4 linked regions of the Drosophila melanogaster genome follow. The protein of the gene in region 2 interacts with the protein of the main gene of each other region in a pairwise test. Each region holds a gene or a part of one and is shown on either strand. Other genes may lie near its edges.

Evidence for each region.
Region 1: the proteins of CG12985 (region 2) and CG12155 interact in a two-hybrid assay, tested with the Drosophila melanogaster proteins (one large-scale study listed by BioGRID).
Region 3: the proteins of CG12985 (region 2) and noi interact in a two-hybrid assay, tested with the Drosophila melanogaster proteins (one large-scale study listed by BioGRID).
Region 4: the proteins of CG12985 (region 2) and CG17230 interact in a two-hybrid assay, tested with the Drosophila melanogaster proteins (one large-scale study listed by BioGRID).

The regions. Positions count from the first base shown.
Region 1 is NC_004354.4:7,726,348-7,734,886, forward strand, and holds CG12155 (uncharacterized protein), read left to right. Parts: upstream 1-2,407; 5' UTR 2,408-2,843; coding exon 2,844-3,027; intron 3,028-3,314; coding exon 3,315-4,798; 3' UTR 4,799-5,382; downstream 5,383-8,539. Other genes in the region: NELF-B, read right to left, coding at 12-365, 428-1,726, 1,805-1,936; Pdp (pyruvate dehydrogenase phosphatase), read right to left, coding at 5,655-5,898, 5,967-6,534, 6,641-7,142, 7,672-7,785.
Region 2 is NC_004354.4:17,880,209-17,887,478, forward strand, and holds CG12985 (uncharacterized protein), read left to right. Parts: upstream 1-3,509; 5' UTR 3,510-3,599; coding exon 3,600-4,267; intron 4,268-4,431; coding exon 4,432-4,876; 3' UTR 4,877-5,030; downstream 5,031-7,270.
Region 3 is NT_033777.3:5,589,101-5,593,155, reverse strand, and holds noi (noisette), read left to right. Parts: upstream 1-1,696; 5' UTR 1,697-1,823; coding exon 1,824-3,335; 3' UTR 3,336-3,555; downstream 3,556-4,055. Other genes in the region: Vha26 (vacuolar H[+]-ATPase 26kD subunit), read right to left, coding at 1-297, 376-588, 1,118-1,150; PolZ2 (DNA polymerase zeta subunit 2), read right to left, coding at 3,617-4,055. UniProt on the Drosophila melanogaster protein: Probable subunit of a splicing factor complex required for 'A' complex assembly formed by the stable binding of U2 snRNP to the branchpoint sequence (BPS) in pre-mRNA. Involved in male fertility.
Region 4 is NT_033777.3:11,434,535-11,442,433, reverse strand, and holds the start of CG17230 (uncharacterized protein), read right to left. Parts: upstream 4,650-7,899; 5' UTR 4,554-4,649; coding exon of another isoform or gene 4,353-4,553; 5' UTR 4,335-4,352; intron 4,292-4,334; coding exon of another isoform or gene 4,069-4,291; intron 4,011-4,068; coding exon of another isoform or gene 3,748-4,010; intron 3,655-3,747; coding exon of another isoform or gene 3,547-3,654; intron 2,550-3,546; coding exon of another isoform or gene 1,799-2,549; intron 1,539-1,798; coding exon of another isoform or gene 1,449-1,538; intron 1,312-1,448; coding exon of another isoform or gene 1,188-1,311; intron 243-1,187; exon of another isoform or gene 128-242; intron 1-127. Other genes in the region: sals (sarcomere length short), read left to right, coding at 1,188-1,311, 1,449-1,538, 1,799-2,549, 3,547-3,654, 3,748-4,010, 4,069-4,291, 4,353-4,553; CG5281 (uncharacterized protein), read right to left, coding at 5,211-6,254; Exd2 (exonuclease 3'-5' domain-containing 2), read left to right, coding at 6,858-7,072, 7,135-7,899.

The sequences.
Region 1 (8,539 bases), about 10 Mb from region 2:
GGTGCCTCTAGCTATTGGACATTATAGTGCGGTCCTGGCGTTGGCACACTCTTTAGCGGCGAATCAAACTCCATGGGCGGCGCTTCAATGACCGGCGTCTCCGCCGCCCCGGTGCCGATTCTCTCCTGCAGAATTTCGTACAACTTGTGGATGTGCTCGTTGTGGGCCGTCGTCGGCTGCATAGCCTTCATCAATGTGGCCAAACGACCGGCGGGCAGCTTATTGTGCACATACCACAAAAGTTTCAGCATGTGACGAGAGGTCACATTCTCGCGCGTCAGTCCGGCAAAGATGAACTCGTCGAAGAGCGTGGTGCAGAAGTCCTCCGTGGCAAACTCTTCGCTCATGGGGATGAGCAGGGCAATCTGTAGAGGTAAGCAATCGAGTCAGAAAAGTAAATATTAGAAAAGCAGCTATAAATGCTAACCAGAGAGTGCAGGAAGGGATCCTCATATGCGCGGTCGTCTTTGCAGGCGGACAGAATGGCCAAGACGCGCAACACGCCCACGCGATCCTTCAGGCGCGCCGTGTGCAGCGTATAGTACATGGCCAATATGCTGGCCACGGAACTCTCTTGAATGTACGCCTCCACGGCATCCGGTGCCGGTCCCGAATGCTCGATGGTGGTCAGAGCAGATTCACGCTCGTCCGGCGGTAGTTTCGCGTGCAAGCTGCGGCACTGGTCGTCAACCATTAACGACATGAGGGCGGGCAAAAACTTGGTGACCACCTGGCAATCAAGTTTGGGCTCCTTAAAGTCTTGCGAATCGATCATCACCCAGGCACTCAAGCCCAAGGCCAACATTCTCAACAACAGGATGAGTATCTGATTGTCACGCGGCATGCCCTCGTTGTTGATCAAGTGATGCAATATCTTGATGGCCGACGTGGCCAAAAAGTTGATGGCATACGGATCGCACAAAGTCATGGACAGATCGCCCAGAACCTGCTCCTGACCGCGCTTGATGTTGTCAAGAAATCCCTGGAGCTCCCGTGAACGTTTAATGTCCACATTCTTCTCCCTTATGCAGGCGTCCAGGCACCAGGTGAACTTGTGACAGGGATCTATCGAGATGATCTCCTGCACCTCGAGATCGTGTAAGGCCATCAGTAGCTCTGCACGCAGCGTGCAATAGTGAACATTGCGGGTGCGCAGGAATAGAGTGCGCAGGAACTGCAGCACCATATCGTACAGCTTGACACTGGTGCCAATCATGTTGGCCAACTTTTGGACTACTTCCCCCTGCCTTCGCACCTTGGGCGTTGGGTGGAAGAACAGATTGTTCAAGTTGGTGTGATCAAACAGGATGTGCTCCTTCTCGCGAATATATTGTGAGAGGAGAGGCGACACCTCGTCACCAAACAACGATTGATTATCACGCCATATCTGCCGCTTAACTTCCGTATCCGTGTCCGCATACAGTTCCCGATCCCTTACAAGGATTTTGAGGTACTTGTCATCGATGTGCTGGGTATTCCTCAATATGGCCATGACCACGGGCCGCAGCGACTTCACCCGAACGACGGGGAAGCTCTTAACGAGCAGCTCCTTGAGCTTCTTGTCCCGCTCCCGGGGCTCCTTTTGGCCCATCTCGTTGATGTGAGCTATCAGCTTGTCGCGCAGCTCCTCCATCAGCGAGGTATGAAAGTCCAGTCGACGCACGCCGTGCAAATCGAGTAAAGGCAACATGGGGCGCAGTGAAGGCAGCAATACACCATTCTCAAGCTAAAAAGGCAGGTGATATTTGGATAAATAAGCCCACCGAACTTTTGGCGCCCATTTTTCGGTGCAACGTAAACAAACCTGAAAACTCTCGATGGCCTTCAAGGGATCAGTGCAGGAGGTCAGGGCCTCGCGCAGATAGGCCTGACCCGGAATATTCACGTCCTCCAGTCCAGTTCCATTGTTATTTTTCGCCGGTGTGCTCATTATCATGCAATTCGTCGGCAAATTGAGCAAAACAAGACACGAAGCTACACAATTGTGTTGTTTTTTATTGCTAGCGAGGAGACAAAAAAATAAGCGCAGGCTTGCACATGTGCGGTGTTATCGATAGTGCACGTATCAGCACGGCTTGTAATAGCCAACTTTGTATGTTTAACATGTAGTTATTAATATTATTTTGCCAACAAATAGTTGTATTATTATTATTGGTAGAATGGTAAATGTTACAAAAATTAATAAAGATAATAAAAAAAAATTATATGGGCCACAAATACAATATAAGTCTAATTTCTAATAGTGTTGGTAAAAAAACTGAACTCAAAAAATAAAAACCTTTAATTAGTTTGCCTTAGAACATCATTCCCATACGACTTAATTGTATAAGAACGTAACTTTTAATTGAGGATTATAAATACAGGGAAACGGACTTTTGCTTTTCAGTGACGGCGAAAGAGAACGCCAATTCCGCGATGTGTCATCCCTAGCGCGAAATAAGCAACAGCAAAAACAGCCAAAAGCAAAGCAAGAGCATCAAGTGCAGTCAAATTCGCACAATTGGAGCTGAACGCCAAGGACAAGGCGTCTCGATTCTTGCCGAGATTCGTGCCCCGTAGCGACTACAAAGGAGATCCTGCTGCACACAGTCGCTATCCTTTGCATCGAGTGTGCGAGAGTGTGTGCGTGCGTGTTCCTACACCTACATAAGCTGGTGTTTGGCTCCGTTCAAGTGCGCTTGTGTATGTGTTTGTGCGTGCATTTCGACGAGAACGAAAGCCTCTCTTTTCGTGGGTAAACAAAAACAAAACACCTGAATGTGAGGAGCAGCATTGGTATCGGGATAAGGATCATCAGGATTTGGGAGAGCACAACAGTGGAAACCCACAGAAGCTGAAGCAACATGTCCTCGTCGACGCAAGAGCGCAAGCGCTACCACAAGGACAACGCGCCCACGGACGACATCCTTACGCTGATCAACCTGGTGCGCCAGAATCCGGTTCTCTACAACTACAAACTGCAGCCGAACCAGCGACGCCGCTCCGATGTCCTCAACGGATGGCAGGAGGTGGCCCAGCAGATAGGAAGTGAGTGCTAGTCATGGCCTGCTTCATGTCCGACTATTAGCCTTCTTCCAGAATTAATATAAGCTTCCGCTAAAGTTGGTTTTAAATACCACATGCATATTGTATTGATAGGCTAGTGTTCTGGCGCCGGCTACTATAACACAACTCATAATTTCATCGTTACTTAGAAACGTTTTCATAAATGTGATGCCTTTGAAGAGGTTCTAGCTTGTATCAATTATCTGTAAAAGGAATACGATTCCTTTGAAACCCCGCTCATATTTATACTACCTCTTTCTTTCTTCCAGACAAGTACACGGTGCAGGAGGTGCGTCGTAAGTGGAAGAACCTGCGGGACACTTTCCACCAGTACCGTCTGCGCACGCCCAAGTACATCGAAGGGCGGCTATCCAAGTGGCGCTACGCCAAGGAGCTGGACTTCCTGTCGAAGGTGTACCAGCCGAAACTGAAATCGCACCGGAACACACAGATCACCTATGAGACGAGTGGGGTTGCCGGCGCCGGTGGAGGCATTGGAGGCGCGAATAGTACCACATTGCCCATTGGAGCTATGCTGCATTTGAAACAGCATGTGGACGATGACGACGACGAGGTGATGGACGATGACGGGCAATCGGATCACGATACCGCCACGCTCTCCTCACATCACGGCACCTCGCAGATCACCCTGGTCAGCGATGAGGCGGAAACCTTCATCCTGACCGCCTACGAGGAGGGCGTCTCGGATGACACTGTATCGCAGCACCACCATCACCATCATCATGGCCATCACCAGCAGGAGCATCATCACCAGCCGCACCACCACCACCACCACCATCATCATCAGTCGCAGCACGACGGCAGCATCTCCAGCATTGAGCTCTCCCAGATTGCCCACGATGACGATGTGGTCGATGATGTCGATGACGAAGATGATGTGGTCGACCACGACGGTCAGCTGGATATTGTGAAGCACGAACTGGACGAGGACGGGGCAACCGGCGCCGAGGTGGACTACGAAGAGGTGTGCCTGTACGAGGAGGCCAGCGGTGCCCATGTGGATTGCGAAATTGGTGTGGGTGACGCCGTGGACGGCGGTAGCGATGTTACCCACGGCAAGGGTTTCCATTACATCGATACACACGAATTTTGCATATCGGACATTGAGCCACAGACAGTTCGCTCCAGCCAGCATCAGTTCTCGGCCAGCGGTGGATCGGGCAATGGCTCAAATAGTGTCCTAACCGGTGGGACTGTGGTAACCGATGGCAAGGTAAAGAATCTCACGCTGGTAACAACCACGTCTCCTGCGGCTGGGGGCGGTGGATCAACCAATCGTCATGATTCCTCAGTGTCAACGCAGCAAATTTCCCTGGTGGATGTAACAGAGGCGACCAGTACCAGTGTGACGATTTCAAGCACGCCGGCCATTTCTCTGAATGCGACTACCGTGACTACCACGCCAGCAGCGGCGCTGTGCAATACCACATCCTTCACATCCACGCCGACGGCCACGATCATTCAGATGCCCCCCTTGAACTGCGGATCTGGCCAGCCATTGGCCGTTAGTGCGGCGGCCAGCAGTTCTAACAATCTCATCAAGGAGGATGAGCAGCATCAGCAGCAACAAGTGGCCCAGGCACTGGCCAAGCGTGATGAGCTCGATCTGTTCTTTGACTTTCTCAAGAAGAAGATGCAGTGCTTCAGCAAGACACAGATTACGCACATTCAGATGGAGTTCCTCAACTGTGTCAGCCGGCAGGAAGCGGCCGAACAGGATGGCAAGGATTAGGGACACCTGTTTTTAGTTATGTTCCCCAAAAAACAACCAATACGATCCCTGAGTAGTTGCCTAGTTTTTTCCATGTATAGGATTAGGATGCGTACCGTTTACCAGTTTGCAAGTTCGTGGATTCCGCGTTCTTCAATTAGCTTTATCCTCCACCCACGAAACCCCGGATCCCTGTATCCTTCACCCCTCTACACCATCCATTCGAGTAAAAATATATATACATATATATTAGCCAGCGTTACAATCAATTGTAATTGGAAATAAAAGAAAATAAATCGATTCTCGAAAACTACACAATTCGAAATTCTTAAAGTTGAATAGCTTGTTTGCAACAGATGATCTATACCTAAGTCTTAGGATTATCCTGGTTTCCCCCCCGTTTTATAGACCGAACTAAATTGAAAACAAGAAAATTGGCGTAAATTATAGAATAAGAAGTTTTAAATTGAATTAGATTATATACATTACGAATTGCTTGTAAATTTTAAACAGCAAAAATTAATATAAGTACTTGCTTTAAAAGAAAAAATAGTATCTACTTTACAAAATCACGAACTATTTGAGAAATAAATATATGAAGAAACCTTCTTGATTGCTTATAACCCTTGATATATACATATTTGCTGGGATTTTCATGTCATTTTTATTTTATTAACAAATGAGACGACCGATCATCGCTCTTTATGAATAACAAGACAATTTGCATATGTGATTTTTCGCTTTCCGCGTGCGATTTATTTGGCGCAGCAGTCGTCCGAGGTCCGATGGCGGATGAAACAAACTTAAACGCAACACTTAGGCTAGTTCGGCTGAAGGTTAGGCTCGTTAAATATACACATATGCACTCTCGCAGAGATCATGCTACCGGCGCAGTGACCTCCGTTTGATCCACATCGCTGTGCAGCTTGGCAATGTGCTCCGAGTTAAAGTAGATGACAGTGATTGTGATGTCGTCGCGATACAGACGCACCGCGTCCCTGGGCAGCGTCAAATAGTACGAGATCTTCGAGTGCTCAATCCCATAGTCGGTGCCGCCCAAAGCATGCCGGATGAGATGCGTGGCCGCGTTTTGGTCTACGGGTTTGCGAGTGAGGCCAGCCCTGCAATGCAATAAAAGCGTAATTAATAAATAAATAAATAACAAGCATACATTTAAAGGATAACTGACTTTCTTTCGGCCAGCTGCTGAGAGATTTCCTGCAGCGTTGTATCGCCTTCCGGCAGGCGCATCGGTTCGAGGATCTTTTTGGAGTTGATGTGCTCCCCCACCAAGCTGACCACCTCGCTGGGCGGAAGGAAATCCCATAGGCCGTCGCTGGCGATGACTAGAAACTTGTCGTTGGGCCCCAATTCGTGCTGCTGGACATCGGGGCGGGCGGTTAGGTACGGTGGCGTATAGTAATTCGGCGCCATTGCCTGCACGCCGAACATCGGCAGCACCTTCTGCTGCATTATTTCCTGGGACCACTTGTAGCGAAAGTCCCCAAAGGCACGCAACGGCGCCAGCTGGCTAAGCAGCCTGCCGTTTCGGATCACCGTCTCATGCTCCTCCTTGGGATGCTCGGCCAGAATGCGACGCACCTCGGACATATTGTCAGCATTGTGTTCGATGTTAAGCTTCTTTGAGTGCCACTGCTGCGTCTGGGGATCAAGAACGCCCAACACTGCGCCACAATCACCCGTGCTGGCCACGTGCATCTGCAGTCCCTCAATGTGAACCAAACAGGCAACGGCTCCTGGAAAATAAACACATTTATAGTTTAGAAATGAAGCCCCTATGAAGAGGAAAGTATGAAACGGGATGGCAACTTATATACATAAATAAATGGATACATCACCCACCAGAAAGGGCCACGTTCATGGTGCGTACATCGTTGCTGGTCAGAGCCTCCTGCGAGATCTCTTCATCCAGCTGGAGGAAGGCGTTCACCAGTTCACTGGATACATCCCGTTGCGGTGTCTCTAACAATTGATTGACATACTTGAGGAAACTAGCCTCGTACATGGGCTTGATCATGCTAACAAAGTCCACGTTGTCATTGTGGCACTTGAGGAACGACTGGCTGTCGGCACCCTGCTTCATCTGCTCCCGGAGCACCTGGCGCGGCAGCGTGGCCGCCGAAACATAGCGAAGCAGTCGCTTGGACACCACTTGGCCACATGCTGCTCCCGCATGCCCGTCGAAAATGCCACAAATGAAGCCGTTGCGGTGCAGGAAGCTGGCCTCCGTGCGGGAATCCTCGCAGGGCCAGTTTGATCCCAGCTGATTTGTTTCATAGCTGCGGATGACTCCATCCACGGGAAAGTTGTAAACGAACTCGTTCTCCCTCAGAACAAGGTTAACCTGTGAAAATAGTTTACATTAATACAGATTCTTACTCTTTATGTGGGAATTACAAAGGTTCCCATGGTAATAGTTATTAATCAGTTAATTCTTATTCGGTTCCTAAAAATTTTGTTCTTAAGCCGCTTGGTATGGACTCTTGTCCAGTGCAAACGATCAAATGAAATTAACTGCTCAGTAAAGGCATTATAAATGGTTGCTGTAGTTGAAATATGAATATGGAAAATCGAATACAGTCGGGTCGACGTCGTTCACTTTGTTTATAGGAAAACACTCGGGACTTTCTTGAAAGCCCTTGAAAGTAGTTATTGGATCTTCAGAAAATTATGCAGGCTTTATAGTTAAATTTTTAAACGGCTTAGGGATGTAATGCATAGATTTGTGGTTTCTAAAAGTAGCTTCAATAGGAAAAATCCAAAATAATTAATAAGTAAAGAAGTACTTTCGATCGAAGATCTTACAAACTGATTACATTTTACGAACCCTGCCCAGCTTGCTAATGACACTTGCCAGGAACCCCAAATCTTACATCGTATGGACTCAATTGAGGCAGTTGCGGCAGCAGACGCAGTGCATTCAAACTGAACTCCCGCACATTGGATCGCACGTAGCTGGCGGCGTCGTTCAGCACGAACTTGAACATCTATATGGAGATTTTGTATATGCTCTCGCCCCGCTGTGGCTATAATTAACGGTAATGATATTGGTTCCGTAACCAAATCGGGGGAGGAGTAGGCAAAGAAGATGGAGGAGAACGTGGTGGATTCCGTATCCCGGAGCCTCCGGCTGATTCACCGACTCCGGTTGCCGGTTGCTGACAAAGGGATCTTATTTTCCGCTGTTGCTTTTGATTGGCCGGCGGCTTGTTTGTACATTTGTGTGCTGTGAAATACGAAGCGGACGGTGTTCACGGAAAACAAACGTAAAAAGAAAATACAGTGCGTACTAGCGATGGGTTTTTCTCTGCACGAGACAGCCTAGAACGAAAATGAACACGCACGTCTTAATTTATGTGTCAAAGCACTGTACAAGGCCAAATCTTTTTGTGTAATTATTGTAAATTTATTAGCTTAATATGAAAGATTATTTTATTTTTTTTGTCATATTTTCTCAGAACAATTTAAACTAACTACATTTGTATGCATTCATCGTGTCACGCGAAATCGCGTTCTTTGACCATCTCTATTGGGCGGCGGTGCCAGACTGGCGGTGTTGCCATTAGCCGGTTACCGTTTTCAAGCCAAGTCTAGCTAGTTTTTGTGTACCGCCGAAAAATACATCTAAGCTTGTTAAAAAATCTGAAAACTGCCAAATTGATGTGAGGACACTATTTTTATTAAATAATTTAGAAGATATAACTGTTTAATAATGGTAATGAAATAATTTCATTGTGGCTA
Region 2 (7,270 bases):
GCACTGTGCGAAACGTTGGCCAACTAATTCGGCTTTTGGTGCAGCTGGCAACCCTGTCCTGCGGCTGGGTGGTCTACGAATATCTTCGCAATCGGATCACAAGTCTACTCCCCCAACTTCTGGGAAAAGTACTAAAAATGCCACATTAAGATTCCTAACATTACAGTAATCATTCGCGAATAGTGACATTGATTGCTATCAGCGATTTTATCTAAGAGATATGCCAAACTAAATATGCTCAATTTCACTTTTAAATAATAAAACATCAATAAGCTGAGGTCTGGGTTTTACCGCAAATCCCTATATTAGCAGGCCAACTAAGCGAGTAGCCACTGTAGCGGGGGCATAAAAAATACAACTTTATGATCGGCGGCGGCCGTTTGACGTCAGAATCGCTTGGCTTGGCTGTCTGTCTGTCGGACTGCGCCAATGTACGTGTGGTGGTAGTACACATGTGTATGTGTGTGTGTGTTGCCCTGCCGCTCGCGCTCTCTTTCGTCTCGCTTTCGCCTTTCTCCACCGCCCACCCACTACAGCCACCCACCGCAGAATGAGAAGAAGAGAGGGGAGCACAGCACGTCATGTGGTGACCCAAATCGTTCGTGTGACTTTTTCCATTTGCACTCGTTTTGTTTAATTCAATTTGCGTGCACATTAAATGCTGCTACTAAACTAATAATTGAAATAAATCATATTTTTGCAACAGCGTCTTTTTCTATTTCTGCATTCCTTTTCTTTTTTTTTTTTGTGAACTCGATTTTATTAAAAGTGCAACATGTGGCGACGCCCGAGAAAAAAAAAGAGGAAAGAAAACGTTTTGTTATTAATACGGTGGCGTACTCACACATTTGCCTACATACACAAACTTATTTGGCTATGTGCGTGCTCCAGATTTTCTAGGTGTCTACTAAAAATACCTTGTAGGCGTTTTCCGCTTCTTCTGTATTCATTAGTATCGCTGATTAGCCAAGAACGAGAAGAGTTAAGGGAATTTGGCAAGGAAATAGTACGGCACGTCTTCCATAACTTGAATCGAAATCAAATAACTTGGTTTTGTCTCAAATTTGAAGTTCAATTTCGTGGATATTAGCTATCTTCCAAATTTGAAGTGCAAATCATGCAAGGAAGTTGCAAATTCTAGGACGCATTTTTCATTTTGTTTTGCATAGCGAGGTACCACTGTGGCAGCAACAACAATTGGACATCAGCGACATCAAAACGGTTTTTGCGCTTTTGAAAGCACTTTTTCAATGGAAGATTGTGCGATTGTGCAAAGAAAGGCGAAGAATTTATGCTTTCTTTCTCTGCACTCCCCGCAGCCCTATTCCCGTCCCGCTCGCACGCCCCGCAGCAAGTGCGTTGTAGATCAAGTCGAGGCGCGATAGAGAAGAATCGAAAGCGAAGAAGAGCGGAGAGAAGAGCGAAGAATGTAAATGCCGCCGCTGACCGGCTATGTTTATTATATTTATTTTTGCTGCTGTTTTATTTTTCTTTCGTTGCTGTCTTATTTATTTTTCTGTACTTTTCTTTTTTTTTTTGTTTAGCTTGAGGTGGTTCAAAGTTCAATGACCGATTTTGCCTTTGCCGAAACTGAAGCGAAATGAACTGAAATGAACCGAAGTGAAGTGAGCGGCGCAGTCGCAGAGCTTTGCTGCCATCTCGCTCCCACAAACACACAAACACGCACACACACACACACACACACTGGGGCACATGGCCACACACAAGGTCAGTTAATAAAGTTGATTTTTGCTCAATACGCAATAGCGCAAAAATGTGCAAATAAAAAATATAAACACTAACAAGTGGCAAGCGAAAATACAAAAGACAACAAGCGGCAATTAAAAAAGAACCTTTCATGAAGTTGTTTTTGTGATCTCTCAAGATCGCGTTAAATAAAAACTTATCAAATGCACAATATTATGATAAAATGTGGTAATAAAACATAAATGATGTTGGCAATGATTAAATTTACTTCTCTATAAATCAAAAAGAACATAAAATGAGCATTTGGTTTGTATTATAAAGTCTCTAAATCTATTCGAGCGAACGATACCATATTTTCATAGTTTGCGATACTCATAAGATCACATTGGAAAACAAGTGTATGATTTCCCTTGCACACTTGCTGTCAATTGAATTGAACGTTCTGCCATTTTGCAACTTTCTTATAGAGAACATGGCCGTATCATTCCCTATTTCCGCCACTGTACTGACTGTTTTGTATTTTGTATGGTAATTGAAAACTGCGCATTCATTGATGACGGATGACGTCGCAGCTTTGACAGTGGCATTGAAAATTTCAGTTTCGCAAGCAGACTGCAGTAAACTGGTGACCAGTCGGCAGCAACAACAACAATGATAATGAATGCAGGAAGAACAAGAACAAGAAGACTACAATAACGATACTATATACCATGTATGTACATATATATATATATATATATATATAACAAAGGAACTGAATGGCCGGCATGAATTTCACTTAATAATGTGTTGCCCGAAAAACGTTTTTTTCCTCTGCATCTATGGAATTTCATCTTTCAAATAACTCATCTTGAATCTTAAATCAATTATGCGGATAGCATGTTTTCCCTGACTTTTATGCGTAATTTCAACGAAGAATTTGAATTCTCTCACGGAATAAATGTTAGTATATTCAGTGTAAATGAAAAATACGCAAATATCTATTATAGCGCTATCTATGTATCTATGAATCTGTATCTACAGATCGTTGCAATTGTTGATATTACTTCCGCCAGGTGGCGTTTTCCCCACCGCCAGTTAACTGCATTCATGGTTTCTGTTTTCCGCACACTTATTTATTTGGCCGCACTGATTAGAGACTGGAATCACAATAATAATAACCAAAACAAATGGCAGCACGTGCTTAGCATCTGGTTTGTTGTGATAAAGTGCGACTTTTCCCAGCCCACCCACACCTATGCCGCTTTCTACCCTTTCTCCGCTCGCCACACGTGCTTGCTAGTCAGCTAACCAGCTAGCTAGTTAGTCAGCTAGCCGCTAGCTAGTTAGATACTTAGTTAGCCAGCCAGTTGGCTGCGTCAGCGTCGCAATTGCGCCGCAATTGGGCACTAATGAAGTATTCTTGATACGCATTTACACTGCATTGGGCAAAGGGAGAAAGAAGGTGCGAAAGGTGAGCAAGGTGCGAAAGCTGCCAACTGAGGTGCTGATTACCCATCGCTATGGCAGCCATTTATCCTGCAGGACAATGGGAAATGGGAAAGCTGGAAAAGCGCTGGTGGAAAAGTATGGGCAACCACTCAGCTCAATTAAAAAATCGTTAAAGGGCAAACAATTGCTTTTCCGTTTCACAAATACGTTCTAGCTCTTTTAGACGGTAAGTTAAGGGGTTCCCATCATCAATTAAACTGATACTATGCGAAAGTACTAGAAAGCCAGCCAACTGTAAAGAATCGCAAAATACCCTGAAATATGTATATATTCTATGGAATATCTAGTAGTTTTGAAAGCAGCAGCCTGAGTCGCTTTCCTCAAATTCCGGATTCAAAATGTATATATTTCCACCATATACCCTGCTCCTTATCATCCTCCGCATTGTGAGTGTCCGTGCGATGAGCTTCGACCAGCCCCACAACGAACACGACGCCTCCCTGGCTAGCTATTTGGACAACACCAACGATGACATATCTCCCCAGGGCTTCAACGGCGATGGGAATGGTAGTTCGGGGGCCACAGTGGTGCCATTCCCTTATCTGGGATGCACCACAAGACCGTCCTACCAATCTGGATGTGAAAGCATGGACGAAAGCGCTAGGGACCGAGAAAAAGATCGCAATATTGATCGGGATCGAGGCCGAGATTGGGATCGAAATAGGGGTTGCGATAGAAACAGGGATCGGGACAAAGACAGGAATAATATTAGAGATAGGGACAACTGTGACTCCTGTGACGAGATTATCAATTCGCGGCTGAAGGCCACCCACATTGCCCAGAATGCCGCCCAGGTGGCCAAGGCAGCCAATGATGCACAGGCGGCCGCCGCTCAAGATGCATCGCGGCAGGCGAAGATGCAGCTGGCGGAAAAGGCCATCTCCGCTGCCCGTGCCGCCGATGCGGTGCTCGAGGGCAAACAGGCAATGGTGGACAACTACGCTAGGGAGATCCGGGATGCCGAGGAGGTGGTCGGACAGGTGAGCTGCTCGCTGCAGAACAGTGAGACGAACGTGGAGGCCTCCTGTGCCGTGGTCAAAGCAGCGGAGGTTCAAGCCGAAACATTCAGGTATAATTGATAAATATTCAATATTCAATATTGTTCACAATCCATCCAACTATCTACACAATTTAAAAGCGGAACAATTATATCGTTATATCTATCATAATATCTACCAGCGATAACATATCGATTTTTAATATCAATGCTTTTTCGATTACTAATGTTTTCAGGGCCCTCGTACAGCAGACGAGTGGCATTTTGTCGGAAATGGACAGCCTAATCGACCAGTCGAACATGGATATCGAGGAGAAGAACCAAATGCTGGCGGCGGCGAAGGCACGTGGTGACCGCCTGGCCCGCCAGGTGGCGCAAGCTAAGTCGGAGTACGAGCAGGTGAAGGAGGCGGCCTGTCGCGCCGCATCCGCCGCCGTGGAGGCCAAGCAAAAGGTCGGCACCGGCAGTTTGCTGTACAAGTCGTCGGTTCACCGCCTACCCACTGTCGCCATAAGGGCCAATGGAGCGCGCGGTTACGCACTCGACAGGAACACCTGCAATGCTCTCCTGGATCTCTACAGGCAGCGCCGACGGCAGCAACAGCGAATGCGGCGGGAGAAAATCCTGAACGGACTGGATCGCTATCAAGGGAATTCACTGTACGGGGATCACTCGTACTAACAAATGCGCTCCCTACTAACGGATGCTACGTCCACAATTCTGTTTTTCTAAACGCTGCAAATTATTTTAACTCTATTTGGATAAGAGTTTCGAGATTTTTCAACAATTTCAGTTTCACTTTTTGAGCGTAAATATGAAGTATTACCTAAATGCGAGTTGTATAATCCTTGTTTTCTTGTTAATTTATTTCCTACTTTTAAGATCGTACTAAATAGCTTGCACATATCATTACAAATCATTAATGTATTGTCAGTTATGTACATATTAAAGATCTTCCCCGTATCGAGTGACCACCGTAGCTGCTTCAATACACAATTGTTTACCAACAAATTCGCCTGACAGTGTCGTAATTCTTGCGAAATAAACAATAACAATGGGAAATGAGTGCAAGGCCAAGACGCAACGAAACACGATCGCAAAGAGGAGAAGGAGAGTGGGAGGGGGAATAGAGAAGGAGATAGTGTGGAAAAGCCATCTTGTCCAGCGGAAGAACGAATGAAAATCACAGCTGCCAATGCGAGGCTGCCAGCTGTTTGGATTTTTCCTCCTTTTCCCTTATGTATTTGTTTTTTGGAAAAATTGTGGGCGGTTGGGTGTAAAAAGTGCAACGCAAGCAGGGTTGCCACCTTTTGCGGCTCTGTTGCGTCGTTGTTTTTATTGCTATTTTGGCGTCGCTTCATGGAACTCGAAACGGAAGAGAGTGAGAAGGAGAGCGAGAGGGCGCGCGCAACGAGCGATAAAAGAGAGCAAATTCAGGGAATACGTATAAATTGAATTATAACTTTTAAGTCCTTAATTAACACATCAAGTATATTTAATTAAGCAATTACCGAAGCAACCGAACCCATAAAATAAATCGAAAATATCTAGTCAACTAAATGTTTAGATTGATATTCAAATTTTTGTATAATCCAACTAATTAAATGTCCTTTTGAAAAAGATACAAAAAAAATGTAAGAAATCTCTTCTAACGCTGCATTTTCCGCATAACAAGATGAGCATTTACAAAGACTGCAGTCTAATATAATGAACCAAATGGCCAGCTGACAAATTTAAATTGCAATATGTTTAATAAATACCATAAAACCGCATTTAACTGAAAAAACATCGATTTAATAAACTAATGGCCACAAGCCAATTGGACTTTAAAATGCCGGCAAGTCCAATTGGTTTGCCTGCTGGGCGCATAACAGCAACGCTGTTAACGCCTAACAGCACGCTGTATATTGCTGAACGCTTGAGTTTCGACTCTCTTTCTGCTCTCTCTTTTTTCAACCTAACCAAACAGCAAAAACAGAAGCATAAAAAGGCTTACTTACATTTGATTTTCGACGTTTCTCTTTTTTGGTTACTTTATTTCCAGGCTTTGGGCTTTGTTCAATTCGCTGCGATTATTCCACACATGTTTTATGATACTGCTGTTGTTGTTGCTGCCGATAGTTGCAGCTGCCGCTTATGTTGTTGCTGTTGCCACAGAAAAACATGTTTCACGTTATTCCCCTTTTTCTTTCCTTCCTTCGTTTTGTATTTGTTGTTGTTGTCGGTGGCAAGAGAGGGACGTCGATATGTGACGCGCACACACACACTCACACACACACGCAGCGGGAGAGAGAGAGAGTGAGAAAATGCGATACGAGGCAAACAAAAAAATTTTGCCGTTTTTCGTTACTCGTTGTTGTTGTTGTTGCTGCTGCCGCCGTTGCTGCTCCTTTTTCTATGCTTTCATTTCGAAAACGATCAATTAACAAACTTTATACATTTTCCCATCAATTTTCGACGCTCTCTCTGCGGTTTTTCATCTTTTCCGCCCGTCTGCCACAAAAAAGAGCGCGTCTCCGCAATGTACAAAAAAAAAGCACACACCAAATGAGGAAAAAAAAACACGCACACTCACGCACGCAACACACGCATACACAGACACGGGCGAAACGGAGAAAATGCTAAATAAAAAGCACTGTGTAAACGCTTTTCCCGTTTTTCCAGCGGCCACACACGGCCAGCTGCACCGACTATATATTATTATTTTATTTAACACGCCGCCTGTGTTTCCGCGCTGCGCATTTTGTTGCTGCTTTTAGGTGTCTTGCTTCCCTTTCAGAGCTGGGTTAGCCACTCGCGATGATATCGATGTATCGGTGTATCGGGCGGAACGGTGGTGGTAGACAGCCACAATCGGGGCATCGGTTGCAATAGTAGCCGATGGTTTACGATTCGATGTTTTGGGGAATCGGTTTATTTCACCTAATTGACCATTTTATGCGTATGAGAGAGCAATTCGCATTGCTTGATGCGCAATAGATAGCATTTTCTTGAAAAGTATATGAATTGATTTATAATTTTTAAATATCTTGCCTATCGAAAAGAACTATTCGTTTTAGACCCCTGCAAGCCAGT
Region 3 (4,055 bases), on a different chromosome or scaffold from region 2:
AACACCACCGCAGGTATCAGCAGAGAGGAAGTCTTTCTCGTCGATGAACAGCTCGACGTTCTGATTGATCTGGGCCTTGTATTGCTCCACAGCGGCAGGCAGGACGTTACGTACCAGGGGGACGTCCACCTCGCGGCAGCGCAGGATCACCTTGGGCTCCATGATCTGGAACAGGCCCTGGACGATGAGCTTGGTCAGCACAGTCTCGTACTCGGACTGATTCTTGGTGACCTCGCCGAGACGCTTGCGGGCATCATCCAGCACGCTGCTCACATGGTCCTCGCGCACTTTCAGCACCTACAGGGTACATTACGAATGATTAAAAATAAGGTGTTTTCCGGTATATGTTAGGGCCACCAACTGGACGACACGCACCTTCAGACGAGCCTGGTTGAGCATGTTGGAGGACTGAATCTTCTTCTGCAGCTCAACTTGCTTCTCCTTCTTCTCGTAGTATTCCATGATCTTGAGACGCTGCTGCTGGACCAGGCGTCCCTTCTCAATGTTGAACTCCTCCTCGGCCTTGGCATCGATCTCCTCGGCTTTCTCATTGGCCTCCTGCTCAATGAACGCCATCATGTGCTTGATCTGAAACAGTCGTCCTGTTTAGTAGTTGCCTGTGTGTCACATGATAACTGGACATGATAAATGGAAAAGGGAGACGTCCAAGACCCTAGCCTCTATTTATTTTCGTTAAAGTTTTGATAACGTAAGGGGTCCGCTGGTCGTGTGACAGAGAGTACGAGTGTGGGGTGCAGGGCTAGTCGTCTCGCTCCAACACATTGCTCCAATGCGGGGGCCGTGTCACATGACCAGCACGAATTTTTACTCACTTTTTACGCAAACTATCTGGACAAATAAATTGATGTGTCTTCATTAGCCAACAAATATGTCAAAACTCCGGCAACTCCCAAATGACCGGGCCGATTTGGAAGGATGTCAGTCTAATTGGACTACTGGCGGTGAAAAGTTCACATGACCTGGGAGATCCCATGACTTCGCCATCTTTATTGCAAAGGCAAATTGCAAAGGCAAAAAGGCAAACGAAGCCTCTCGTTTTGCTTGTTTCCCTACGACCTTGATCGCCTGCCCGTTCCCAATCCAAGTTTTCAATTACCTGCTTTTGTACATCAGCATCGCTCAGTGCCATTTTGACTGATTTTTTTCACTGCACAAACCGAAAGGAAATTCAAGTGTTTTAAAGAAGCCCACGTACAACAACCGTGCCTGGAAATAATTGAAATTTAATTAAGCTAATACATTCACAGCCGAACTGAGTTGGAAACGGCGGCCCAACACGAGGAAAGTGGAAAACGATAAGTTACTTTTGCCTTCTGCCCAACGTCTGAAAATTTTCACTGCAAATCGATCATATGATTTCACGAAAGTGTGACCCTGCGATTGCGAGGGTAAAAATGTGTATTTGTTGTCGCTGTCAGACCACCGATAGACGATGTAATTGTTATCGCATTTGTAACAGAGGCTTCACTTTAATCGACTAGGTAGAAAAATCATGCGATATAATCTATATATGATAATGAAAAATCAATTTGGCTCTTTAAATATCATTACTATATTACTCGAATAATCGAGCGTTAATTTGATACATCTGCATTCCCGAAATCCACATTAATTGCCAGTGTGATCGGAGTATAATAACCTGACAATAATATGATGTGACAATATAAGCCATCCCTGCTTTATTGTAAGTGTATTTTTTAATGTACACACGCTGACGAAAAGTTGTGTTTTCTTCGGGATTTCGCTAAGTGAAAGGCCTCCATTTGATATTTCCCCGCATTAAATCCTCGCATTCAAGAGCCATGGAGACGCTCCTGGAGCAACAGCGGCGCCTACACGAGGAGCGCGAGCGCCTGGTCAAACTGATGGTGGACGAGCATGCGACCAAAAAGCCGGGCGAAAAGGAGCGCATCCATTCGGAGCACCGGCTTAAATACCTCATGGAACTGCATCACAACTCTACGTCCCAGCTACGCGATCTCTACGAGGACAAGGACAATGAACGAAAGGCGGAGATTGCCGCTCTTTCGGGGCCCAACGAGTTCAATGAGTTCTACGCCCGCCTCAAGCAAATCAAGCAGTTCTACAAGTCCCATCCGGCGGAGGTCAGCGTGCCGCTGTCCGTCGAGTTCGACGAGATGATTCGGGTGTACAACAATCCGGACGACATGAGTGCCCTAGTGGAGTTCACTGACGAGGAGGGCGGCGGTCGCTATCTGGACCTCAACGAGTGCTACGAGCTGTACCTCAACTTGCGGTCGGTGGAGAAACTGGACTATATCACTTACCTTATGTCCTTTGACCACGTCTTCGATATTCCGAGAGAGCGCAAGAACCGCGAGTACCGCATATACATAGAGACCCTCAACGACTACCTGCACCACTTCATCCTCCGAATCCAGCCCTTGCTCGACCTGGAGGGCGAACTGCTAAAGGTGGAACTTGACTTCCAGCGCCAGTGGCTGATGGGCACATTTCCGGGTTTTTCGATTAAGGAAACTGAGTCGGCGTTGGCCAACACCGGCGCCCACCTTGATCTATCCGCCTTCTCCAGCTGGGAGGAGCTGGCCTCGCTAGGACTGGATCGTCTAAAGTCGGCTTTGGTGGCTCTGGGTCTTAAGTGCGGCGGCACCCTGGAGGAGCGAGCACAGCGTTTATTCTCTACAAAAGGTAAAAGCACCTTGGATCCCGCACTGATGGCCAAGAAGCCCAGCGCAAAGACTGCTAGTGCCCAGTCACGGGAGCACGAACGCCACAAGGAGATTGCCCAGCTAGAGGCTCTGCTCTACAAATACGCGGATCTGTTGTCTGAGCAGAGAGCGGCTACCAAGGAGAATGTGCAGAGAAAACAGGCTCGGACTGGTGGCGAGCGGGACGATAGCGATGTGGAGGCCAGCGAGTCGGACAACGAAGATGATCCCGACGCGGACGACGTTCCGTACAATCCCAAGAACTTGCCGCTCGGATGGGACGGTAAACCTATCCCCTACTGGTTGTATAAACTGCATGGCCTGAATATTAGCTATAATTGCGAGATATGTGGAAACTTCACCTACAAGGGTCCTAAGGCTTTTCAACGACACTTCGCCGAGTGGCGGCATGCGCACGGCATGCGATGCCTCGGCATTCCGAACACCGCCCATTTCGCCAATGTCACCCAGATCGAGGACGCAATCACGTTGTGGGAAAAACTCAAGTCGCAAAAGCAGAGCGAGCGCTGGGTAGCCGATCAGGAGGAAGAGTTCGAGGACTCGCTGGGAAACGTTGTCAACCGAAAGACGTTCGAGGATCTAAAACGCCAGGGTCTACTTTAGAGGACAAGCCTACGATTATGGTCGCTTGAGTACCGGTCAATTCTATATGACGCTTCCTCTAAAACCTCAACAGTCTTTATAATTCAAAACGGAATGACACTAAAATTGGTTTTATTTAAGGAATCTAATGTTAAGCCATAAAACCATTGGGCGTCCTTTTATTCATTAAAGAAAGACCATGGATCAGCCAACGATTCATGATTAGAATCAATTGTAGTTTAAAATAAACCCAACGTCGTGTAGTTTTCGATAAAATGGATAACAGTTTTAGGAATATAACATTAATTAACGATGAGGACATCCATTTTCAGTCCCAAATCATCTACCCTAGCCAAAGGAAGGAGGTAAACGGTTCGCCCTGTCGCTTGGGATTCAGTTTTTTGGGTCTGAAGCCAGGGAAACTCCTGGTACTGGGAGTCATGGCTGAAGCGGATGAATGCCTCCTGGGTAGTGTGCAGATGCACCTTAAACTGACAACTTCCGGCGGGCAGTTTAGGCGCCTGGTTTAAGCGCTGAGAGATTTTGTAGATGACAGAGCGCATGTTCTGCTCGAACTCCATCAAATGATCCTCTGCCGGTAGGCCACTCCTCTGGGTTTCTAGTTGCATTTTATAGCTCTCCAACTTCTCATTCTCCTTCTGATACACTATTAGCTCCAGGCACTGCAGCTCCCGGCGGCGAAGAAGTTCTTGTGCGGATTTTAGGACGCCGGCCAGGTAG
Region 4 (7,899 bases), on a different chromosome or scaffold from region 2:
TGTGGCCTTGGTAACACAGTCCCACCCAAAAGGCATCAAATCTCCTGCCCCTGCTTCCTGCCAGGACTCACTCAAACAAAGCTAATTAACAGATTTGTCAGCTTTTCATCACTTGGTGATGGTGATGGTGATGGTGCTGGTGGTGGTGCCTTCATTGTTTTTCTCTTCTTTTTGTTGTTTGACTTTTACACTTTTGAACAACAAGCCGAAAGGAAAAAGCATGAAGGAATGCAAAGTATTCGATAAAAAATTATGAAAGAAACCCATCTTGATGCATGCCTGTGTATGAGTCCCAAAGAAATCGAATGAATGGTGTTAAGGCAATAAAACACCATCAAAGCCAGGTCCACGTTCCACGACAAGACGGTGTCGGGGGAGCAGGACGAGGACGAGGACGAAACGTAGGCGGAGGCCGCAACGGAGGCAGGCACTAACTTTTCAATCTCTGCTGCAACTTCCGACAGAGACAGCCATGTGTCTAGGCTCTCATTCTATTAGGAGCCCCCCATACACCAGGCGAAACTTCAGATAAACAGACTATAAGCCTTTTCTATTCATATTGTGTTTGGCTAAAAGGCGAAATGATGAACTGACATTTTTCAAAACACTAGACAATTCCCAAAATGTATTCTCTAAAATGTATAATCCAGCTGACATAATAGTTTGGGTCCTCTGTTTTGTAAGGAAAATGTTAGATATGCTTAAGATTGGCATTTAAGTGATTTAAAATGTACTAGCTGAAAAGATGAAAATAGATTTAAACTAATACAATTGGGGAATTGATAGAGTCAGAACCTTTTAAAACAAAAACCGAAAAGGAATAAATAACCCTTAATGTTCGGAGTGTAAAGCCATCCATTCCATTCTCTTTGCCCTGTATTGATATGTATGGTGCAACTTTGCTCGCAAAGCACAGCTAAATACTGGGGTGGCGAATCCTCTGGCGGGTTGACTAAGGAACCCCCCGGGAGCCGAAAGAACAACAAACAACTGAAACAAATTGCAAACTCATTAAATTAAAATTATATTTAATAACCGCGAGTGCACGCAGCGCCCGGCGATTTGCTCTAATGCCCAACGACCAAACCTCGCGCCCACTTGCACCACTTGCAGCGAGTGCCCCACCCACCATTTGGCAGAGAATAACCGCCGCCCACTTGGGTGCATTCCGTGTTTTATTGTTGCAGTTCCCGCCCCGCCGCCGCTGCCCTCGCTGGTGCCCAAGGCCCCGCCACCGCCGCCCCCGCCCCTAGCTCCCGGTGAGAAGAGAGTGCTCAGCAGCACACAGAAGGAGACCCTCGAGAAGCTCAGGTGAGTGGAAACCTCGACGACTGACCCATGAACCCTGACCACCGCCAGTGCTTGCATACCCGAATATCCTGGCATCGGGATAGTTTTTACCTTGAAGGCGCAGAATGGCCATAATTCCGATTCGCTTCGATTCGCAGGACTCGACCCCGAAGGCGCCCCGACTGGTCCGAGATGATGAAGGAGGTGGAGAGCGGCAAGAAGCTGCGCCATGTGGCCTGCAACGATAGGTGAGTGGTGTCCGCATGCTGTGCAGTAATTACCGACTGCAATACTCCCGATAATTAAAAAGGGAATGAAAACTGAAGTTATTTAAGGCCACAGGAAAGAGTACCTAGAGCATCTTACTGCGTTTACGCCACTTTATCCGGCAAATGTTAATGACTTTTACTTAAATTTTAAGTGTGCAGAAGTACCAGCAGCCAAATAATAGATAACTCTGCACGAAAATGTTCAAAAATCTCTTTTATAACAATTCAAATCCTAATAGATCTCAGCCCATCCTGACGTGCAAGTCGATAACCAAATTGGACGACAAGTTCATCTACGAGACGGAGAAGGGCAACTCGCACAACAAGCTGCTCAAGCAGATCCAGGGCGGCATCAAGTTGAAGCCAACGAAGACCAACGATCGCAGCAAGCCGGTGCTGGACGGTCTGCGCAAGTTCCGCCGACAGATGACCATCGAGGAGCAGTTGCAGAAGTCGCAGTCGAAGATCAACATGCTCAGCGAGGCGCCTAGCAGCCATGCACTCGGACCGGGCAGTGCCACGGCCTTGGGAGCCGGAGGATCCCGGCCCAGCATCGTATCGGCTATGTCCATCGACGAGGAAAGCCCCGACGAGCTGGACGACATCGACAAGATCCGCGACGATCTGCAGAGCACCAAACAAATGCTGGCACTGGAGTTGCGAAACCGTGAGGCGCAGGATCGCGAGAACAAGAAGCTGCTGGCCAAAATCCGCACCCTAGAGACCGAACTGGAACGCGAGAAGTCACGCGAAAAGAATCTCGAGTACGGATCCAATGTGATTGTGGCCACCATGGATCCTACGCCCACCGCCGAACAGACCTACGTCAACTCCCTGAAGCGCGAGGTAGAGGACGCACGGAAGGTGTCCAAGGAGGTGGAGCAAAACTATCAGAGCACCGCCGAGCAGCTGGTGGAGGCCAAGACGGAGATCGAGGAGCAGCGCCGCCAGATTCAGTTGCTCGAACGCAAGTTGGCAGCAGCTCTTCAGGTAATTCCTTTTGCAGAACGGGTTCGGTAATATGTATATGTAGGTAATGGGATGCTGCTCAAAGTGTTGTCAGTTGAGATTAGGATTTTGGATTACAACCATTTACAACATAACTATCTCCAAGGGTATGCAAAGCATCGGACTCCGAAGCTAGTCCTTCTTTCTTGTTTTTAGTGTCGCCGGCGTCGCCTCGCTGCGTCCGCTGAGGGCGGCAAGTAGACGGGAGCAGCTAACGAAGCCACCGCAATTCGTAGACTCCGCCTTAGATCCCTCGTTAGTTGTCCCTAGTAGCCACTGTAGCCAGAGAAACAGATCAGCTGACAACACTTGACACAAATGTGGAATGGGTCTGGGAAAGGATTACCCGTGGATACACCTTGTTTTCTTCCTTCTTAAAAACGGTTTGCACACGAGACTTAAAATACCAGAAATCTGATTGAAGCCAGCAGACAGCTTGCTGTTGAGAAGGAATCAGACAAGTTGAATAGTAAAATTATTATCAAGAGAAAGCGAAAAATGAAATTCAAAACTGACCATATTTTATCAAAGCTCAATTTGTATTAAATTTCGGAAGCCATACTTTTCAAGTAAGGTGCCTTCATCCCTTACCTGTGCTATCTGTTTGCTTGCACACAATTCCAGACAAAACAAAATCAAGTTTCTGGGGAAATGCTCAAAAGGTTCCAGAATTTTTCTTTAAGCAAATAATGGACCTGGCCATGCCATGGTAGACATTAAAAAATGTAATCTTTATCAAAACGAAACGAGAGGTATAAACAATGTCCGAAGATCTCGTGTGTAGACGACCTTAAACTCCAACTGCCGGACGCATGCTGCATGAAAGACTCCCGCCACCCGCATTCTGCTTCCGCCCAGACCAAAGCGGTGTTATGACCCGTCTAGGACACGTCCGGTCCCGATTCCTATCCCCCTGAAAGCTTTGCTATTGCACTCCGCGGCAACTAACCGATTAACCCGTTCACGCTCTCTTGCAAAGGCGACACCAAGCACTAACAGACCGCACATTAGTAATTGCTTTGCTTACGACGACGACGACTACGACGATTGCTTCCACTACGACCACTACCATGCAGCACGGCATCAGGTAAAATCAGGCCCCGCTCAAGGATGCCCTCACTAATCCAATGTGTGTATCCCTTCTTTCCCGTTTTCCGTTTTGCATTAACTGCGGCTGCAGGGCGGTGGATCCTTGGACGGATCGCGTCGACCAAGCGATGCAAACTTTGGAAGGGATAGCTCGCCGGAACTGGAGCCTGAGGTCAGCGAAAGCGATCCTGACGAGCCGGAGGAGAAGAAGGTGGAGCGCAGGGAGCGTCGCTCTGGCAAGGAGCTCAAGATCCTGCGTAGCAAGCTTACCAAACTGAAGGTCAAAGAGGAGGCGGCCAAGAAGGAGAAGGACGCCCTCAAGCAAGCCATGAAGAAGAACCAGAGTATCCTCAAGTGAGTACAAATTGTAATGTAGTATTGTTCTTAAACTGGAAACAACTCTGGATGACAGGGAGGAGAACAAGAAGTTTAAGAAGCTGGAGAAGGAGGTGCAGAAGATGGCTGCCTCCATGAAGCTAGACGAAGACGATGTGGACGGCGAGGAGAAGGACGAGGACGAAGAGGAGGCCGAGGAGGAGCACGCCAGCGAAGAAGAGGAGGAATCCGACGACGAGTCCGAGGAGTCCGAATCGGAGGAAAGTGAGGCGGAGACGGGCAGCGAGTCCGAGCCAGAGGTGAGTTAGCCCCAGAGAATCGTAAACTATTTAGCCAGCTCACCTGTACCGTATTCCGCAGGACTCGCCCAACTCCGCGAAGAAGGCGAATGTGGAGCCGCGCGTGAAGAAGCACGAGAGCCGGTTCGCGGCGATGAAGAAGTGCAATGTGCTGCTCCAGGCGAACGTCGACAATTTGCAGGATCAAATTGTGCAGGTGCGATCGCGGGCCACCAATCTGCAGGACGAACTGGACGCGGTTATTGCCGATTTGGGCTTCTAGTCCCTCAGCTTGTCTTCCGTTTCTGTTTCCGTTCCTTGCTCTGTTTTTTCGAGTGTGTGTGCTTCGAGAATATAAACATAAACAATAATAAACAAACAAACAAACGAAAAACTAGAGGTGGATGTAAAATTAATTCTGCAATCGATGTATGATGTCGATGTATGTATCGATGTCGCGCCGTCTGTATTCTACATGTAACGGAATTTTTACAAAGTAATGTAAAATGTTGTGTCGCTGTAGATTTGAAATTTTATTGTTTATTTATAACTATTTAAATGAATTATATAAAAATGTAGTGCAAATTTGCATGTAGAAGAGCGTGAAATTCAAATGCAAATTATAACTTGTTTTTATTTTATTCATAAGTTGTATTTATTACCGTATTTTAAGCATGTATAACAATGTACAAAACAACAAATCGGCGAAATTGGCTAAACTAAACACGCACTACGAGTATTTACTTATGAGTGGAGTGGATATCACGCGTCCCTTCTTATATATTTTGATTAATCTACGATCTGAGCCTTGATATAAGTAGAGTCTACGATGAATGAACCGGGTTTGCTGCCGGCCACTGATGCTTGCCGGGATTGGGTGAGAACGATGTGACAAGACGAGGGAGAAACCGCGAACTCTTTTAGTTGCTCTGGAACCACACTATTCCAGCAGGATGAGCCTGAATCGCTTCCGCAGCGACGACTCGCGTGGCAGGGTGCCTGCCCATTTCTTCAGGGCCGTCAGAACCACAGATCCCATCACCATCACCGCACCCACCAGCGAGTAAGCGGTGGGCGTCTCTCCGAAGAAGAGCATCTGCCAGACGAAGGCGAAGACGATGTCGGCGCAGCGAGCAATGGCCACTGGTCCGGCCTGTTCGATCTGCAGCGATAGCGTGAGCAGGATCTGGCCCAGGAAGCTGAATACGCCCAGTACAACGACCAGCCAACGATCCCGTCCGCAGCTTGGCCAGCACACAGCTCCAATAGATGCGCAAACGATCAGTGTGTAGACCAGAGCGATGGTACCGAAATTCGTCATGATGACGGAGAAGTGCAGGTTTTTGAGCGCCCGCAGCAGGATGTACACATTGGCTCCGAAGAGTGTGGATGATATGGCGGCCACTGGTCCCCAGATGTCGTACGTCTTCCCAGCGACATCCTCACTCTCCGCCGTGTCACCGAACACAAAGGGTGGGCGCGTGATGAGGACCACGCCGAGCAATGTCATATTGATGGTCAGGACATTGAACAGCGTACACGGCTCCTTGAGGAAGGCACGCGCAAATATGGCCACGAAAACGGGCGTGGAGAAGATGATGACACTCGCATCGGCCAGGGGCATGTGTCGGAAGGCATAGAAGCTGAGCATCAGACCCGTTGTGCCCATGAAGCAGCGCAGCAGCAGTATCACCCTCTTGCCCTCCGGAAACACCGGCTGTCGCGTGTATATCAGGATGGGCAGTGCCGGCAACAGGACTCCGACGAATCGAAACGAGGCCAGCTCCATGGGGTTCACGTCCACCAGTCCCTTCACAATCACCGAGCACAGGGAGAAGAAGAGCGAGGAGAGCGTGGCCAGCAGGATACCCAAGTAGGGACAATCGGCGCCCAATCGTCGCTGCAAGCGCTCCAGCCAACGGGGGGCGGGATCTGGGGGCGGGGCGCCCTCCTGGAACTGCTGAAGCTCGAGGTTTTCCGGCATTCTGTGGGGTTTCTTCTCTACAGTTTCTGGATTCCTTCAAAGTTTCAGCATCCTGCAAATGGGATTTGCATCAATATGTGTGCATGAGTGTGGGGAGTCTAATGGTAGCCCACCTGCCCTGAAAAATCGATTTCTTTCGATTGCCTTCCTTATTTACGCGCTGTGTCACTGTCTGCTGCCGCCTTTTCTGCGTTTTCAATGGCACATCGTTTCCCCGCCGCCAGTTTCACTGAGTTTTATTCATTGTTTGCACGCTCCGACTGCGTTTAATTAAACATTTTTAATTCTTTTCGCGAATGGAGATTCCGGAAAACCCTGTGGGCCAGTATTGCCACCCCGAAGATCTTAGTCCAGCCAACAATGCCACCTTTTTAAACGACTCGTCATGTTTAACGGTTTTATTTCGATATATTTTTATGAACTTTTAAAAGATTTGAAACAAGTTTTGCTTAAAATGTATTAAAACTGTAAAACTATTTTGGCATAGCACATTCAAATTACGGTTATAAATATTCCGAAACTTGTTTAGACCGGCTTTTACGGTTTGTGAAAACGTAAGTTGGCAGGCCAGCCAATCAGCTGCTGAACTCCGAAAGGAGAACAATGACTCGGGAATCGGCAGTCGCCACCAAAAGAAATTGGGCGATTCTGGCCGCAGGAGTTGGCTTGGTATACGTCCTGGTGCGGCACAGGCACCGACTGCTGTGTCCACTGCGTCGCGTCTGGTCCTTCGGCAGCCTGGTGCCCCAGCGACGCATAGAAGTGATCAACTCCGTCCAGGATCCGACCACGCAATGGGTTTTGAATGAACTGAAGAAGTAAGTAAAAACCACTTTAATTTCACGACAATGGAAATATATATATATATTCTGCCTCTTAGTCACTGCCAGACTTTTAAAGTCCTTGGATTCGATTGCGAGTGGATCACCGTGGGCGGCAGCCGCAGGCCAGTGGCCTTGCTCCAATTGAGCTCCCATCGGGGTCTATGTGCCTTATTCCGACTGTGCCATATGAAACAAATACCCCAGGATCTGCGGGAGCTTCTCGAGGACGATTCCGTGATCAAAGTGGGCGTGGCACCCCAGGAGGATGCCATGAAACTTTCGCACGACTATGGAGTAGGCGTGGCCAGCACACTGGATCTGCGCTTCCTCTGCGTAATGGCAGGCCACAAACCTGAGGGACTGGGAAAGCTCTCCAAAACTCACCTGAACTATACACTGGACAAGCACTGGCGCCTGGCCTGCTCCAACTGGGAGGCCAAGACTTTGGAGCCAAAACAGCTTGATTACGCTGCCAACGACGCACTTATGGCGGTGGCCATTTATCAAAAATTGTGCAGGGATCTGCAGCCAAAACACTTTTGGCAACGAAGGCAACTGGACGACAATAGCATGCACAACAAATTCGAACCCTTTCTCGACGTGGACTTCACGAAAGGCTTCACACTCAACCCGTCCGGCAGCGGAGTAACTCGTTCAAAGGGCTCCACCCAATCCAAAAGCAATAAATGGGTGCCCAAGAAGCAACCGTACCGGCAAATAGCTACCCGAACCAAAGACTTCTACGATAACTGCCTGCTGCAGGCGCCCGATGGCGAACTCCTGTGTACAATTGACAGGCGCAAGGCGTCCTGGTATCTCAA